Linked DNA regions of Arabidopsis thaliana. The protein of the gene in region 2 interacts with the protein of the main gene of each other region in a pairwise test. Each region holds a gene or a part of one and is shown on either strand. Other genes may lie near its edges. The genes, in order: AT4G17810, AT2G21530, BMY2 and MYB86.

The links.
Region 1: the proteins of AT2G21530 (region 2) and AT4G17810 interact in a two-hybrid assay, tested with the Arabidopsis thaliana proteins (one large-scale study listed by BioGRID).
Region 3: the proteins of AT2G21530 (region 2) and BMY2 interact in a two-hybrid assay, tested with the Arabidopsis thaliana proteins (one large-scale study listed by BioGRID).
Region 4: the proteins of AT2G21530 (region 2) and MYB86 interact in a two-hybrid assay, tested with the Arabidopsis thaliana proteins (one large-scale study listed by BioGRID).

Annotation. Positions count from the first base shown.
Region 1 is NC_003075.7:9,904,803-9,908,532, reverse strand, and holds AT4G17810 (C2H2 and C2HC zinc fingers superfamily protein), read right to left. Parts: upstream 1,713-3,730; 5' UTR 1,616-1,712; coding exon 1,001-1,615; 3' UTR 506-1,000; downstream 1-505.
Region 2 is NC_003071.7:9,217,371-9,221,170, reverse strand, and holds AT2G21530 (SMAD/FHA domain-containing protein), read right to left. Parts: upstream 1,920-3,800; 5' UTR 1,800-1,919; coding exon 1,523-1,799; intron 1,428-1,522; coding exon 1,363-1,427; intron 1,278-1,362; coding exon 1,217-1,277; intron 1,025-1,216; coding exon 878-1,024; intron 787-877; coding exon 707-786; 3' UTR 563-706; downstream 1-562. Other genes in the region: SFH3 (SEC14-like 3), read left to right, coding at 154-225, 326-340; AT2G21520 (Sec14p-like phosphatidylinositol transfer family protein), read right to left, coding at 2,218-2,741, 2,943-3,072, 3,143-3,256, 3,345-3,443, 3,534-3,633, 3,734-3,783.
Region 3 is NC_003076.8:18,351,897-18,357,415, reverse strand, and holds BMY2 (beta-amylase 2), read right to left. Parts: upstream 3,892-5,519; 5' UTR 3,823-3,891; coding exon 3,304-3,822; intron 3,131-3,303; coding exon 2,903-3,130; intron 2,819-2,902; coding exon 2,738-2,818; intron 2,595-2,737; coding exon 2,391-2,594; intron 2,268-2,390; coding exon 2,073-2,267; intron 1,952-2,072; coding exon 1,787-1,951; intron 1,698-1,786; coding exon 1,437-1,697; intron 1,356-1,436; coding exon 1,143-1,355; intron 1,055-1,142; coding exon 835-1,054; intron 746-834; coding exon 720-745; 3' UTR 528-719; downstream 1-527. Other genes in the region: AT5G45290 (RING/U-box superfamily protein), read left to right, coding at 5,324-5,519.
Region 4 is NC_003076.8:9,331,026-9,335,112, forward strand, and holds MYB86 (myb domain protein 86), read right to left. Parts: upstream 2,260-4,087; 5' UTR 2,020-2,259; coding exon 1,887-2,019; exon of another isoform or gene 1,823-1,886; coding exon of another isoform or gene 1,783-1,822; coding exon 1,653-1,782; intron 1,546-1,652; coding exon 750-1,545; 3' UTR 540-749; downstream 1-539. UniProt on the Arabidopsis thaliana protein: Probable transcription factor.

The DNA.
Region 1 (3,730 bases), on a different chromosome or scaffold from region 2:
ATAAACTTACAAGAACTTATTCAATCAAGTTTTTGAATTGATCTCTTAGCTAAAGTCGGGGATAAGACCAGGATTAATTCAAGTTTCTCCCCTACATCGTGATAAAAAAGGCATTAAATATCAGATATATTAGAGAACTTTAGTTAGAAAAAGAAAAACCAGATTCTCTGTCACGAATGATACTTCTGAGTCGCCTGAGCATTAGAAAACTAATTATGACAAGATATCCATAAATCGTTCAAAAAAGATATATAGTTAAATATTTAATCAGAAACTAAATCAAAATAATGCATGTACAAACTACTTAACATGACATGGAGTAATAGAAGTATAAAACGAATGGAATAAATTAAAACTCAGTTCAACGCATATCTCTTCATCATTCCAATACTCCAAAACCCTAAAGCATATGGAAATAGTAAGAACAAATTTGCCTTCTACGAAATATGTAAAAAAATATTGGCTTCTTATCTTCTGTTGAGGAATGGTTTTTTTTTTTTTTTTTAAATGTGTAGACGCTTTTAATAATTTGAAAGTTTTGAGCATTTGAAACAAACTACTGATAATGTTCGTTAATTGTAAATTTTCTCCATCAAACGGAAATTTGAATTCAAAGAGCCTTGTTACTTTTCAAGAAAATCATTACTAAACCAAGTAATGATAAAGACAGAATATATAAAAAGCAATAGTAATCAATACATATATGGGTTCTATGGGATTTCTGAGATGAAATTTAATATAAGTATATACAAATCATATAATGCAGGGTTCATTGTATATATTTCGATCTAACCAATCAAATTAAGTAAACATATACTTGTAAACTTACGCTCTGAAATCAAGGAACCAAAGCATGAAATCGAATGAATTTAATTGTGATACACAATTCAAGCCAAATTGAATTCAGAATTTAACAACAACATGTAAATTAAGATTTAAAGAACCTGTGTATGAATAGATATTAATGTGAAAGCCTCGAGTGGGTCATGAAAATGAAATGTCACGGTGGATGGTGCCCTAGCCGAAGTTCAAGATCAAGCTCATCCACTGATGTTCCTGTCGCTTCTTTCATCGAGCCAATGCTCTCATCATCTCCTGTCGAATATTCAATAAGCCGAGGAGGAACTTCTACTGGAGAATTCAACATTGAAAACGGAAGGTTGCTCGGAGGAAACGAAGTCGTACCATAAAGATTCACCATGTCACCAGAATTACCAAAAATGCCACTAGGGTTTTGCAGTTGGTAGAAATGGGACAAACCTTCAATGTTACTCGCCGTGGATTGTATTATAAGTGTCGTTGTAGGCAACGGCGGAGCACAAGAATTGAGTAACATCCCCCCGTGGCCGCTTCTAGCCGCAGCCGCAACGGTGGAACCTTGATGAGCCCTAGATGAGGCGCGGTCACGGCGGTGGACATTCATGTGACCGCCTAAGGCTTGAGCAGAACGGAACTCACGGCGGCAGAAATTGCAAGTGTAAGATCTTGGAGGCCAAGTGGTACCAGAGATGTTGCCTTTAGTGTCTTGCTCAAAGGCTTTGACTTCCCAAGATTCATCATCATCCTCCAATTCTTCAATTTTGTTAGGGTTCCACATCCATGCACCACCGTTCATTCAAGGATGAGTTTTTTTTGAAAAAAAAAGAGAAATCTCAGTAGAAGATGAAGAATAAGAAGAAGATGGGGTTGGTGGATAATGATGTAAATTCAATAATAAATATAAAGATGGACCCGAAATATATACATAGATAGGTCACTTATCTTCAAAATATCATTTTCAGTAAATGAAAGAAATTTTACCATAATAAATTTTACTGAGTGTAAGAGCACACACATTTTGATTATCACATGTATAATTCAAAATTTGCAAATATAATATACTTTCTTTCTATTAAATCCAGTGCAAACATATTTTAGTAACTTATATATGTTAGAAAAGTAAAAATGAAATCTCATTTTCTATTAATTACTTACATATATTTAGCTACTTTCAGAAATTTACATAAACTTTACGTCTTTATAGAACTCTACACTTTTAGGTGTGTTCTTCTATCTTCGTTGGTACTTTGTTACAAAAAGACATTAAATCATAGATTGCTATGCATTTAATTAATATAGGAAGCCCAATTATAAATAAAAAAATAGTGTGCATTTTATATAAATAGGTGAAGATTTACAGAGGAAAAAGTTGGTTGTGACTTTGATGTCCTATGTAAGGTTAAGACAAAGTTTGTTTGCTTTAAATGGTGAAGCAAAGATCTTAGCTTTGCGTGATCATTACTAAGATTCTCTTGTTAGAATCTGACAAATGACTAGAGTAGCTTTACACTGTGACATTATGACCATATATTTTAGATAATCATCCTACATATGGCTACAATTCGAGATATACATACATTACAAAACTATATATATGTATATAGACACACATGTATGGTGTATGAACTCATATTATATATATTATTTTCTATGTAGAAAAAGATATTATTTTTTTTTCTTATGCCAAATGAAAATTTTATTACAATTTGAAATCTAGGAATATTAAACAATACAAATTTTGGGAAAAAAATGAAAAACAGAAGAGCTGAAAGTGATGGGCCTTGATATCCGAAAGATATTTGCCATGTAAAGTTACATTAACAGTGGTTTCGTTGGGAACTTAGTTAGATTTCAACTAGATCGCTCTTTCGTTGGACCATGTGGATTGCATTTGTTTTGTCATGTTTTTCAAATAAATAAAAACATAAAAAGGGACTTAATTTTCCTTGGAAAATAGTCAAATTACAGTACAATGATAAATCTCAGCCCAAATAAAGGTCATTATGGATCCTTGCGTTTGCTTTCAATGGGCCGTTGGACAAGTACGTAATTTAGGCCTTTTAACGCTCTTTTTATTTTATTTTTGTTTAAAATGCGAAAAAAACTTCATCATGATCAGTGATAAAATATGTTTGTTTATAGGAACACTATATGATTTTAATCCAAAATTAATTGACAATGAGTGTACAAATTTAAGTGCTAATTAAAATTGGGTTAAAAGTTTCAATAATTCCAGTCATTTTAATATCATAAGTTAATTATAAGCATATATAATTTTTCGAGTTTATCCATCACAAACATTAGACGAACGATGTTGAAAAAAGCTTAACCCGATAATATGCATCTCCGAGTTAAACATATATACCAATGTTGGTACTTGTATATCTCATTGGGTCAAAACGTTTGTATGTATATAACTATATTATTGTATTGAAGTTGAGAATAAAGGAAAGATAGATTAAGGGAGAAGCAAACAATGACGTTTTGCCAGCGAAGCTTTTTGGGAGCAAAGAGAATCCTTTTGCAGCTATCAAACGACCGCTTCTCCCGGACGACGACCTTTGGCCGCCCATCACATCTTTCTCTATATTTATCTATTTAACAGATACTTGATGAAAAGAAAAAATCCTGATCATATGTAATATAAGATTTTCTTTTGTCAACATTTACTATATAAGATTTTGATTTGAAATAAATTTATAGACGCATTGTTTTCTTGACTGTAAAACTAACATGATGATTTCATGTTTCAGAAAATAATATAGACTAAGTCTTGTGTGATTCGGTTCATTATTGTATTTCATGTCTCCAAGCTATTGGCTATTGTTTATTCACTAATTAATACGTGCTTTGTCATATTGCTTTCCGTGAAACAAAATATTGGTTAATTAAGACCTAATCGGTCCATTAA
Region 2 (3,800 bases):
ATAACTAGTTTCTTATTTTAGAGTTTAGAAGTTTGAATTTAGACTATTTTGTTCATTTATAAAAGTTAAAAGCTATTTTAATTCTTTTGATCTAAAATTTAGACCATTTTCATAATCCTGTTATAAATCAATTTTATTTTGTTGAAAATTCAGACGCTGGAGGAAACCATGGCAACGCAGCATGTGATAATGGCTTATATCGACAAGAAGAAAAAGAAGAAGAAGGTAACAACAAACTAACACATTTTAAAACACTCTTTTTCAAGATTTATTCGTACTTGATTTTGTTTACGTATTTATATGTTTTTTTTGTTTTTGTTTTCAGTTCTTTGGATTCTGAAAGACTTGATAATGCCTCAAGACTTTGAAGAAACCTGGAAAAATATATATAAATCCATATTTATTATATATATAAACATAAATATTATTCGTGAAGAGTTTTTACAGATAAAAATGTGGGAAATTTTCTTTCTGTAAATGTTTTGTTGTTTGTCCCTCTGGAAATATCTGAAAGCTTATGTTTACCACTTATCAATTCTTTCACACCTAATTTGTAACGTACCAAAAACAAAAATATATATGTTATAATATTATATAAAAAGCTATTGTTCATATATATATAAATCAACAATGTTGTAAAACAACTTAGAATTTCAACAAAAACCGGTTAATTGCAAGCAAAGATAAGCAATTCTCGGGTTTTGTGTTACTCTGTAGTTGGTTTCTCTATGGATTCTTCACTATCTTGGAGCTTGAAAACACGGAAAATTGCTAGATTTGTATCTCCTGCAAGTCACACAAAGAGTTTAACCTCATTGATCGGTCCATCACATTCACAGAGAGAGAGATGGAAAATCATGCGAAAAGATTGGTGTACCAAAGGTGATTCGTGTTCCGGGAAAGGCAGGAGCAGCAACACCAGGAATTAGACGTTTGTCTTCGATGAATGTACCGTTGGTGCTGTTCATATCCGTCACAAGAAGGTTCTTTTCATTCGTATTGATTGTCGCATGGACTCCTGACACTGAGGTTAAAAGACTAGGAGTGTTGGATTCTGATCCAAACTAAAGCAATAAACCATCTACAATCGAAAATCTAGTACCGAATCCGAACCTAAACCCGAAACCAAAACTATATCAAATTGATTCATATTAAAACCAAATTCACTTTGATTACAAATTCAAGAAAACCGAAAACCACAAGAACAGAGAAATACCGGTGGCAACAGGAATCACGACGTCAGCCTTTTCCGGTAGCCGTCCGATGGTAACTTGGCCCTGCTCAATACCCATTTTTGTGATCTTAGCAAAAACTAAAAACTCATCAAAATCAATCAATCTAGTGGAATGTATAGTTTCTTACAGAGGAGATCTCAAAAGGAGCAGGCATTGCCACTTTGTAACCAATGTGTCTTGTGTCTCCATCGCCTATAAGTTTTCAGGCAAAAAGACTTTCAAGACTCAAAAAGATTAAAGAAGCTCATTGATATTAAACCTAGAGAAACAAAAAAATAGCCTCTGACCAACTGGTTTGAGAAGCCACCGTTCTCCTCCGGAAGTTGGGGATTGATTCTCATCCAAGGAGGCGCGTGTTGTTCTCACCACCGGTGCATGACTTCTTGGTTTCTTCGCAATGAAGCTAATATTACTGATCTGCTCATTCTCTCTCAAGCAGTTTACTGAAACAGCTCCATTTAGGTTGTTTCTATTACTGTTTCCATAGAAACAGAAAAGTGATGATGATGATGATGATGATGAAAACTTAACTCGAGAGCACAATTGGGATATTGTTATCTCCATTTTCTCTTCATAAAAACTGATTGATCTTACAAAAACAAAATATGAAGTAAAGAAAAATGCAAAAACTTTTGAGATACGTTAAGAGATAATCACTATATGGGATATGTGGCTACAATATCTTGTATCTGGATAAAAACAAAATCCTAAAAAAAAACAGAATCCTGATTAATAATTTCGATACTCTTTTTTCGTTTTGCATTAACAAGTTTACAGTTACAGATTTTTTTATGATTATAAAAATAAAACATATAATATAAAGTGGCTCATAATCACAGAAGGAAACAGAGCTCTCTGTATTAGCTTTAACATCAAATCAGATATAAGAGTTTTTGTTTTGTTTTGTTGTTTATACTTAAGAACAGCGAATTACGAAAGAGGGAGATTTTGATGCCTGGTGCTGGTTTTTCTTGGCTTTGCTTCAGAAGCAAAAGAGATGTTTCTTCTTCTTCTTCTTCATCTTCTGGAACTGAGCTTCTTCTTGACGATCAATGTAAGCAAGTAACTCTTCCTGTCTCATCAAAGCTTCGTAAAGGGCCTTTTTAGTAGCTATGAGCTCTGCTTCAAGTGCGTCTACTCTGCAGACGGCTGCGTTTAACAGTTCTTCTTTCTCGTATGGCATCTCATTTGGCTTTGATTGGAGCGTTCCGATTTTACCTTCCAGCTCTGTCAGTTTCTTCGTCACACAGTTTAGTAGATCAGTTTCCGTGAGGTCTGGTACAGGAGAAGGAGGACGACACTCCTCTTTAACTCCTTCACCGTTAGAACCAAGTTCTATTGCGTTTCCTTGGGTTTCTGCTGGGGAAGAAGTAGTAGTCGCTGGAAGTTTCTTTGTTACAGTGCGGAAGAATGTGAAAACCGCCATCAAGAATGCCATGAACATTACTAGGACTCGAGCCTTGATGCCTTCATGATCTTTTGGAACGGTGGGAGACATTAAAGCTCCTGAAGGAAACAGATAAGAGTTAAGATCACCAAACAAAGAAAGACCAAAAAAACTCTGTTTTTATAACCAACTCCAAAACAATCCTAATAAGAAAATAAATCCTATGTAAACAAGGATTAGGTTAAATTCTTTTCCTTCAGTATTTGGTTCTAAACCGGAGCCTACTGGTACGTAAAGCATATAGCAGCTAACTAACTAACCTCTTGAGGCAACTCTCTGGATGGCGGGTTTCACCTTCCAGGTGGCGTCAACGGCTTTGTCCACCATAGGTACATACTCGTCATAACCCGGAAAACTACCAGCCAAGCTTGTTTCACCAGCTATCTTTGCCTGCAAAGCCTCAGGATAAACATCTACTACTTCCCCAACTAGAAGATAGAAAGAAAGAGAAAAAAGTTACCTCCTCACGAACAGGTGTCAAGCGGAGATGAGAGAAACTCTTTATAGCCTTCGGAGAACCGATATCTTCAGCGTCAGATCCTGACTCTGCAGTGGATGTGTCACTTCCCTTTATCTATGTTTATGACAGAGCAGAGTTTAGGCACAATATGGTCAGCCACAAGTTAAAGATTGACTAGTTATAGGATTTAATAACTACGTACCCATGTATATGAAGGTTTTGCATAAGCAATGACTTTCCCTTCGCTGTTCAACACTTTCACCACCTGCCTCGCTCGATGTGCTCCTCCATGAAGCACCATCTGAAATAATGAGAAGAAAACCAAATGTCTCAGATTCCAACTTGGATGATACAAATAGAATCCAAAAAGAGATTAGTCTAAGTAAATGACCTTCACAATTTCCGGGTTTTTCCAAGGTCCCTTGTCAGAAAGCATGCAACCGCCTTGATCTGCGCAAGTACATGCACCTCCCAAGAACTCAGGCAACTCGCTATAAAAAAGTGCAGACCATTTTGAACATAAGCAAAAACAAAAAAACGTGCAGCTTTCGATAGAACAGATCAAATAAGGGTGGGTCAAGGTTCACATACTTGACATCAATGACTTCAAGCAATTTGCTTAGATACTTGTATCCGAGTACCTACATAAACAATAGAA
Region 3 (5,519 bases), on a different chromosome or scaffold from region 2:
TCACACACCACCTAAGACTTTTTTTCCATCTTTTTCATTAATCATATTGGACATTTTGCCTCATTATCCCACATTTAGATATGTATAATAGAGGCTTTGTTCGTTGTGGTTAACTAACCCTATTTCTTATGCTTCTTTAGATACAAAATCAAATTTTCGTACGGACCAACATTATATTGTCCATGAATTAACACTGAATGCAAAAGGACATGTTGGTCTTTTTTTCCCCTCTTTATTTGTTCTTCAAAGATTTGGTTGGATCTAAAATGTCAAATACAATCATGAAAAATCAGGATTTTATCAGAATATTATTTGAATGATACAAAAGAAAAATGTAACTTTGAACAAAAATTATTAATACCATTAATGTAATCGGATTCGGGCATATATAGTCAAAAAGGTTATTCTAAGAATAATTTAGACAAAAAGGTATAAGAGTTAGGCAACACTTTTCGGTTGTATTCATTAGACATCAATACCTTCTTGTATTTTTCAAAATAAAACTAAACAAGTGTCTACTTTACGCGAGTCGGATTAGAATGCATTTAAGAATTTAATTAGTTAGTTCATCTTCAACTAGTGAAGTGTTAAGGTGTTTAAAGATTACAAGATCAATCGTCTTAAATATAGGCCTTGAGGAGAGAATAAACAAAACAAAACAGATTTTGAAGTTTTAAACAAAAGACACTTACTAAAAGAATCCTAAGACCATGCAAATCCTAAAACTGTTTATCTCTTATGTCGCCTGCAAAGAAACAAATATAGTTGTAAGAACAAAGATTTTGACAACGAATCTAAAGGGAAGGCACAATCAAGCGTGCGGGTAAATCTTACCATGCATGCGTTTAATGAAGTAGTCCAAATCTGGAAAGCAAGTAGATCCTTGAACCAGAGGAGAAGGTTGACGATATGTGAAGAAGGAGAAGTGATAGCCATCTGGATGGTTTCTTGGTTTAGCTATATCGATTAATCTCATACAACCATCTCTGTCGAAACAAGTAATCGCATTCTCTCCACCGATTTGAAGTCCCTTATCCCAAGCTGCGTTGATCACCTGCCACAAATAACCAAAACTTTAGGGTTAAGATTACATTTGCTGAGAAGTAAAAAAAGCTATAGTCATCAATAAAAAGTGTCATTACCTGCCAACTTAAACCTTCTGGATCAGCTAATGCTTCTTCATGCGCATTGGGAGACATTTGTGGCCCAGGGCACACAAACTTCACAGTCACGGAATATTTCTTCAGAGTTTCGAAAACAAGAGAGTACCCATCACGGTTTGAAGGGTTGTAGTATCCTGCAGTTAATTCAGCAGCATGACTAGCTGTCTTGTATGACCAGTATATTGCCGGTATCTGCATTGTTGTTTTTGGTGTATGAGTCTCATTGTTATAGGCATCACTGGGTTTGAAGGATAAGTGCCAAAAGGATTATACCTTGACAATAATCTTCGTCTCCTCAAATGCGAGATTTGCAAGAGACAGAACATTCTCAGCATGACCAATTAGCAATTGTGAGTACCAATTTAAGAAGAAGCGGCCATAATAGCTGTCATATTCACCTCTTTCTTGGAAGAACACAGTTTCATGTGGATGAGAACTGTATTGACCAGCATTCTCTGGTCCTTTACCCCAGAAAGTGAATCCTCGTGACTTTGCTTCCTTTTGCAGACTCAATTGCGAATATTTGTCATAACACTGCAATAGGAAAAATAGTAAATTGATATGTTAACTTCACTAGTCATAAGTTAGAACGTAGAAGTAAAGTTCAGCAATCTGAAAAATACCTGAAACTCACCGATACCGGGATAAATCCAACCCATCCTTTCTGGGAAAGATGGGTACTTTAGTTCACCAGAAGCTCCAAGACCAATCTCAACCGCAGTAATTAGTCCTTCCACAAACAAGTCATCAAACTCTGACCGGAAGCTTCTCATAAAATCAAAATAGACCTGGATAATCAAGTGTTGAAAAGGAAGAAATAAGAATCTAGACAGTACAAAAGAGGAGGAAATGAGACATAATATACCAAAATACTGAACAATTTCTGAGCAATGAGTGTTCTTTGAGTACCTCTATACCAGTTCGTCCATGCAATACCCGTTCCTTGTCAATGCTCCAATTCAAACACTCGAAACTTCTTCTTCCTTCACGATCAGTGAAAAAAATGTCTGGATTGTCTTTCCCAATCTTCAACACCCACTGTGGCAACGAAATCATCACATTCCCAGATGCATTCCCTCCATACTCATGAAATGCCATCACCACCTTCAAACAAACCATATACTGATTGCTAAGATATTATGAAAAAGACGGTCCTTTATAGGGAAAGTCACAGTTTGGTCACATAGGATGTATTTAACAAAGCTCTACAAGTAAAAATATTCACACCTGTAGCTTAAGTTTGAAGTCTCTGATAAGGTTAAAGAGCTCCCTATAGCCAGACCATACATATTTCTGAGGGTTCCATCCTTCAACTATTCCCCACCAACAATCTATTACTACTCCATCGACATTTAATGACTTCATGTAACTTAATTCTTGTCTTACACCTTCAGGATCAACCAACTGGCCAAAGTTGTCTATAATGCCAACCTGAAAGACAAGGTACAGAACTTTAGCACAGGAAAACTAAGGATCGCGGCAAAACTGGTAAGAAATATATGTACACTCTTTTTTATTGGGCAACATCCATATATATACACTTAAAACACAAAGTTCTCTCATCAGAAGCTCACTGGAAGCATGGCGTACACAGGGACATAAAAGCTCTCTGTGAAGTCATTACATTGCTCTGCGGAATGAACATCTTGTATAAGCTGAAAGAAAAACAAAGTGGTTAGATGAAACAACGTCCAGCTTAAAGTCAATTCTCCTAATAAGGAAATGAATTTATCATTCACCTGATTGGCTTCCAAGCATCCAACGGAGGTGATAGGACTAACACTAGTATACCTTCCATTCCCGGGATGATCACTCTCGGCAATACCAATAGAATCAAGAGACACAGGAGCAAGTTTCTCATCGTTCCTAAGAACTGAATGCTGCTGAGATTCAATTGCAGCCTTAGCACAGTTCTTCAATGTACTAGAAGAAAGTGGACTCTCAATAGATCTCGTCGGAAACTGTACCTAATCCAATAATATTAAACAATCTATGTTACATTAATAACAGAACAAAGCTTATAACTTTAAGAGCTTCACACATATTTGGGATCAAATTTATCATCTTTCCACTAAACCCTAACTTAAATAGCTTAATATGAAAGTTTGAATTTTGAGAGAGAGAGTTTCGAAGTTTGAACCACATGATTTGGTTGCTGTGATTGCCGATAAGTAGTACCATCGGCTTCAACACTCCAACCAGCTTCACGAGCCAAAGCAGCGATTACGTCATTCATATCAGCACGCGCCGGTAACGGAAAATTACCGTACTGTCTTAATCCGGCGAGCATTCTACTAGTGATTGCTCGTCTATGTCTTTCTCTAAGCTTCGTTCTCTCTTTTTCCTTCTCCCTCTCTCTCTTCCCTTTCCCTCCTCCACCTCCTCCGCCGCCGCTGCTTCCTTCTCCACCGCCGATTCCGGCGATGTTTCCGTTGTTTACATCGTTTTCCGTTGGAGCTATCGACGCTGCTGCTGCTGCAGCGGCGAATCCGCGAGGGCGGCGAGATTGTGGTTGGTTGCGGTTCCGGTTGGGAAATTGATCCGGGTCTGGAATTGGGTCGAGATTCGGATCTTGCGAACCGGTGGTGGTGGTGATGGTGTTGTTGAGAGTATGCATTTTTGTGCGGTGAAGTTGCTCGCTTCTGTGCTGTTCCCACATTTGAGATTTTTTTGTAACTTTATGGATTTACAAATCAACGTCGGTAATTATTATAAATTACGTTAAAAGTCTCTCATTATCAAAATCGTCAATATTAACCCCTCCTTTTTTTTTTTTTTTTTTGGTCAAAAACCTCTCTTTTTTTTTTGTTCAACAATAGCCAATGTGACCAGTTTTGACAAAGTGATACTGAATTACTGATGGGTTTGTTAGGAATGACACGATGGGTTTTACGGTTTTGTTTCCAATCCTTTTTTTCATGGTTTTATTAGTTTAGAAAAGAAAAACTGAATAACATAAATACATAATTTGTCTTTTGATTTGATTTTGGTTTAGTAAATCAAACCAAAATCATGTTAAAATTAGTTTACATATTTTGACTCAGGTTTTTATTTTAGGTAGGTTTTAGTAAAATTAACATTATAATTATAAATAAAATGTTAATGAATTTCCGTTTATTTGATTCGATTTTATCATGTTAAAATTAGTTTTTGTTTGGTCTTTAAATCGACTTTACAGGGCCGGTCCAACAAAAATCTTCTGAAGCTAGAATGCCACTATATCTAAATTGTAAAATACTGAAAACAATCACTTCATAAAAAAAAATGATTTGTATATTTTAGTTTATTGTGATTTACTTTTTTCAACTCATTTTTTTTTTCTATTTTTAATATATCTTTTTTCTTTCTTTCTTTGAAGTTAGTGTAGTTCAATTATATTTTAATTTTTGAGAATATAGATTCGATTTTGGTTCGATTTTGGTTCGATTTTGTATTTCTGCTTCGCAATTTATAAAACCAAAAGGCTTTGTCAACAAAATTTCAGTTTTGAGTATAGTTTGAATATTCTAGTTTGGTTTGGTTACAACTATTTTTCATCTAAGTGATCACTGTTCAATGACCATTTCAAAGCTTTTTTCTCAATTATAGTCCTCAATGAAGTCCAATTATGATTGCAAAAAAGATTAAAAAATCGAACGAAAACAAAAGAATGTTATAATAGTTTGAAAAAGAAAAGAAAGAAAAATAAAGAAATGGTGAGTTTGGTTTTTTGTTCCCTCTCGTTCGAACATCAAGACACACTCTTCCCGTAAAAGTCTCTCTCTCTATCGCAGATAGGTGCTTTGTCTCCTTCTTCGATTACTCCGATCACCTAAAAATCTTTCCTTTTCTTCAAAGCATTTCTCTTTGATTCAAAGACAACACACATAGCTTAGTTCCTACATTAATTTCTCGCAATAAAAAAAGTTCAGATTTCGAGGTATTCTTGCAATCTCGATCGAGTTTCAGATCTGGGGATTCAATAATTAGGGCTTTTGATTCTGCATTGTCAATGACGAATTCGGGTTTCAATGTAAAGATCTGAGGAAAAAGTTTCGATCTTTAGATTTTGACTTGGAGGTTTCTTCGATTGGTGGATTTGAAGAAGATGGGGAAAAGACTTGTGGGTCTTGTGTCAATGATGTAATTTTAGCAGAAAGTTGTTTGCTTTTGAGAAGAAGATGGGATCTGGCCGGAGCAAATCATGTCTAGGCTCGTCGGCGATGGCGAGAGAAGCTTCTGACGTGGCTCAACCTCCTCCGTCGTCTTCTAGTGGTGGTGGAAGGAGAAGAAGATCAAAGAGTCTTTTTTGTGGTCTTCACTCTTCTTGTCTTGCTTCATCTTCTACTTCTCATTACAGTGATGATGATAATGATG
Region 4 (4,087 bases), on a different chromosome or scaffold from region 2:
AAGACATAGGTTTAATTTCTCTGAAAATAATCATAAAAACATGATCTTCCATGCATATTTAATATAAACTTTATAACTTAATAGTTTTTTAAGATCTATAAATTTCATGGTTTGAACAAAATTCATAATCTAAACTAGTGAATATAATTTCTTTTATATAATTTCTAATTTTTAAAATATTCATATCCTTTTGATATACTAACACGGCCTGTATACTTGTAATTCAAAAGAAAAAAAAATAGTATCATGGAATATTATATTTGAGACCCACTGCATTTGTTTTTAATACAAAAAAGATTATGGGTCTTTCGGTTAATTGTTCACGCATGCATCTCTCTTTGTCCGGAATCACTTTTCCGAAGAAGTCTCCACTCCAACTTAAGATCTATTAACCTCTCCTTAAAACAAAAAGACCATCCACCACGACCGAGACATGTTTTACTTTACTTTATCTTCTTGTTTTTAATATTATGATCAGTGATATAACTTTTCCTAAGTAAAACTAAATATAGATGTAAGTAAAAATATAAATGTATGAAACTCAATTCAGGTCAAAGTCATAAGTAAGGAAATGGAATAAAGAACTACATCTTAGCACCAAAAAAATTCACTCGAGCAGAAAATTTACATAAATCAAAAACCATATACATACTTTACACACAAGCATAACAAATGTATGGATCAATCAATAAACTCAGGTCTATGAATATGAATAGAAAATGAAACTCTCTATAACACATGTTAATAATCTAAAGGCTCTGATCAAACACCATGTTATTAAGCTTTTGTAGATTTTTACCGTACACTTCCACGTTAGCATCGTGTAGTAATGTTGCAGCTTCTTGGTTTGGTGACGACGATGATGATGCTGATCTCCAGTAGTAGTTGGCAATGTCTGGCTTCACTTCTGCTTCTATAACAGTTTCTGAGCTTTGGTTGTGTTCTGTGTAATGAAGAATCTCTGATGCCCATGACTTCATGTCTTGATGATGATGATGTTGATCTACTAGTGGATTATTATTGTTCATGGTTTGGCTAGCTTCTGTGTATTGATTACCAAAGAAGGCACTGTAGATACTGTTGCTCTGACTTGGTACTGTGTTGCAGTAGTTGAGTTGTTCCCAGTTGTTTGGAGCAGGACTGAAGTTTGAAGTCATTGGTGTCGGAGATGATGACGTAGACATTGAAGAGATTAAAGATACGATCTGGTCTGAAACCGTTGTAGTATTACTTGAACTAAAGCAAAACGCAGAGTTTTGATTAGTCGTAGTTGTATTCGCCGGGAACCACCATGGACCTTGTTGCGATGAGACGACCATTGACTGATCATGTAGGTTGTTTATCGAACCCGTTGACTTTACTACTTCTGATGACGTCAGTTTCTGATCTATGACGTTAAGAGATTGAAGCTCGTTTGTTATTAAGGGTTTATGTGTTGTTGGGTCAATGCCTTTTCTTCTCAGCTTCTTCTTAAGACATGAGTTCCAAAAGTTTTTGATCTCGTTGTCTGTTCTTCCCGGTAACCGCGTTGCGATTTGAGACCATCTACATATTCAATATGAACCAAAGATTTTTTTTTTAACATATATATATATATACACAATATACATTATAAATTCAAAACTATATAAATGTGTTGCAAATTAATGAACCTGTTGCCTAATGCAGCATGGAGCTCAATGATCAAGCTTTCTTCGTCTTGAGAGAAAGCTCCTCTCTTTAAATCTGGTCTCAAATAATTTATCCACCTAAGTCTACAACTCTTTCCACATCTTTGCAAACCTATTTGATCATATATATCCACCAACGCATATAAAAACATTATAAACGATGCTATATAAACCTCTTTAAGCTATATATAATATAAGAGCACATAGAGACCAAACCTGCGAGTTTAGGGACAGAACTCCAACAGCCATGACCATGTCTAGTGATGTAATTGAGAAGTTTCTCATCTTCTTCAGGAGACCAAAGGCCTTTTCTTAGCTTCTGCTTAAAACAACAAGAATGTCTTCCCATTTTTTATAAAAGTAATGAAGAAAGTATAGATTGTTGCAGAGAGAGTTTTATGGTTCTTGGAGGTTCTATAAGCTTGAAGAGGAAGGAAGAAGATGGAGAAAATTATTATAAAATGAGAGAAACTATGATTGGCGATATTCTGGTGTAAACACTTTTGTTTTATAATCGTTGGGTGAATTAATTGATACCTTTTATGGGACCACCTTATTCAGAAAACTCAAGAGATGAACTCAAACATAGTAAATAACTATTTGATTCCTTTACAAAATAGAAAGAAATGGTGGTTAAGACTTTAGAGGTAACACTTGTAAACTTTTTTTTTTCTTTTTTTTTTCTCGAACGATAGATAGAAAAATGTGACATATACTGACAGAAAAGTAGTCAACTTTTAAGAAATTTATCTACAATGAAAAAGAAGAAGAATCATTATCGTAGACTTGTAATCTGAATTTATTTTCAATTATTTTTAAAAAAGTATAAAATAGTATGGTTATTAAAATCAACAAATAACAGAAACATGATGGTTAACATAAAAAAAGAAAAGAGGAAACTTAATTCACGGACAATATATTCTAGTCGAATTATTTGCTACGTTTTGGAAAGTATATGATTAGTGAATTATACATCGAGTATAAATATTACTAGTTTCCTAATTAGTAATAAAAAAGTGGAAAGAAAAATAAAGGGAAGCCATCGGTCAACAACAAACTCATTTCCATGAAAGCATTGTACGAGTCTAAAATTATTGTCCCCCCAAAAATGTCTACGGAATTTTAATACTTTTTTGTTCGTAAACGAAATTAATATTTATAGTACTTTTTCGTTTTATTTTTCCTACTTTTTTGATCTCAAAGGAGACACCTTGATGTGCTGAGAATGTAAAGAGTTCTTCAATTCAAGTACGCAAAGTAATGGTGGAAAAATAGCCTTAAATGTTTCCACTATGCAATAATTTGGTCGCGTAACCACTAATATTCTTATTTATATACACACTAATGTTACTAGTTACCGACTTGTAACGGGTAATCTTTCATTAATCTTACATCGATGAGGCTAGTCTAACGTGAAACAAAACAAAAACAAAGATAATTTTGATTAATTTCGAGCATGCTTCTACACGAGAACAACAATAAGTGTTTAGAAACGTATATTATGATAGGAGATGCGTTCTCATTATTATCGTATTATAGGAAAGAGAGTTTCCTTTTTAAAAATACAATCATGATGATTAGTTTTTTTTTGTTATTTGAAATTTCATGATGATTAGTTTACAACAAAGCTATTTTATTTATATAAAGCTACTAGCTTAAGTCGAGTCTTAAGAAATCATACAAACAATAGCATAATTGAAGAATATCATTACAACGGAAAAAACACTCAATCCCTTGTATATACAACTGGCTTGTCTCCTTTGACATATTTGTTGTAAGAGGAAAAAATCTCATAGATCATCACCTCAATTTTAATAATAGCGTCAGCTGCGTCACGAATGATATATTATATTTTCAATTAAAATGGGATTTTGTCTTATGCATATCATTTTTTACATGTTTAAACAATTTTTGTATAACATATAGTATATATTTGTTTTGGTATTTTGCATTTACACTACCCAAATGTCGTTGTATCCTGAAAATATAATTAGTATATTTTTTAAATACAAAACCATTTCATCAAAATTATTAGGACGAGTAGAGGAAGAAAGAAAAATTATAATATACATATATTACGTATATATATATGCAGTAAAGAACTTATAAGAAACTAAATGCAGTGGATAAAATCGAATTAGCCGTCGATAAAAAAAACTGTAATGAGAAAGTCATCCAGTTATATTTTTATAACATGCAATCAATTAGCCGATGCCAACCTCTTAATTCTGTCATTTTCAAGTTTTATAAAATCATCTTTGCGTAGTCGAAAGTGGACTAAAATTGGTTGTAAAAACTAAAAAGTATATATTGGCATAAGTTAAATGTTTTTATGTGCATAGAAAATTATATAGTCACGGTGATGTTTTTGTATAGTTTGTAATGGGAAATACAAAAGAATTCGCCGCCTTTCAAAT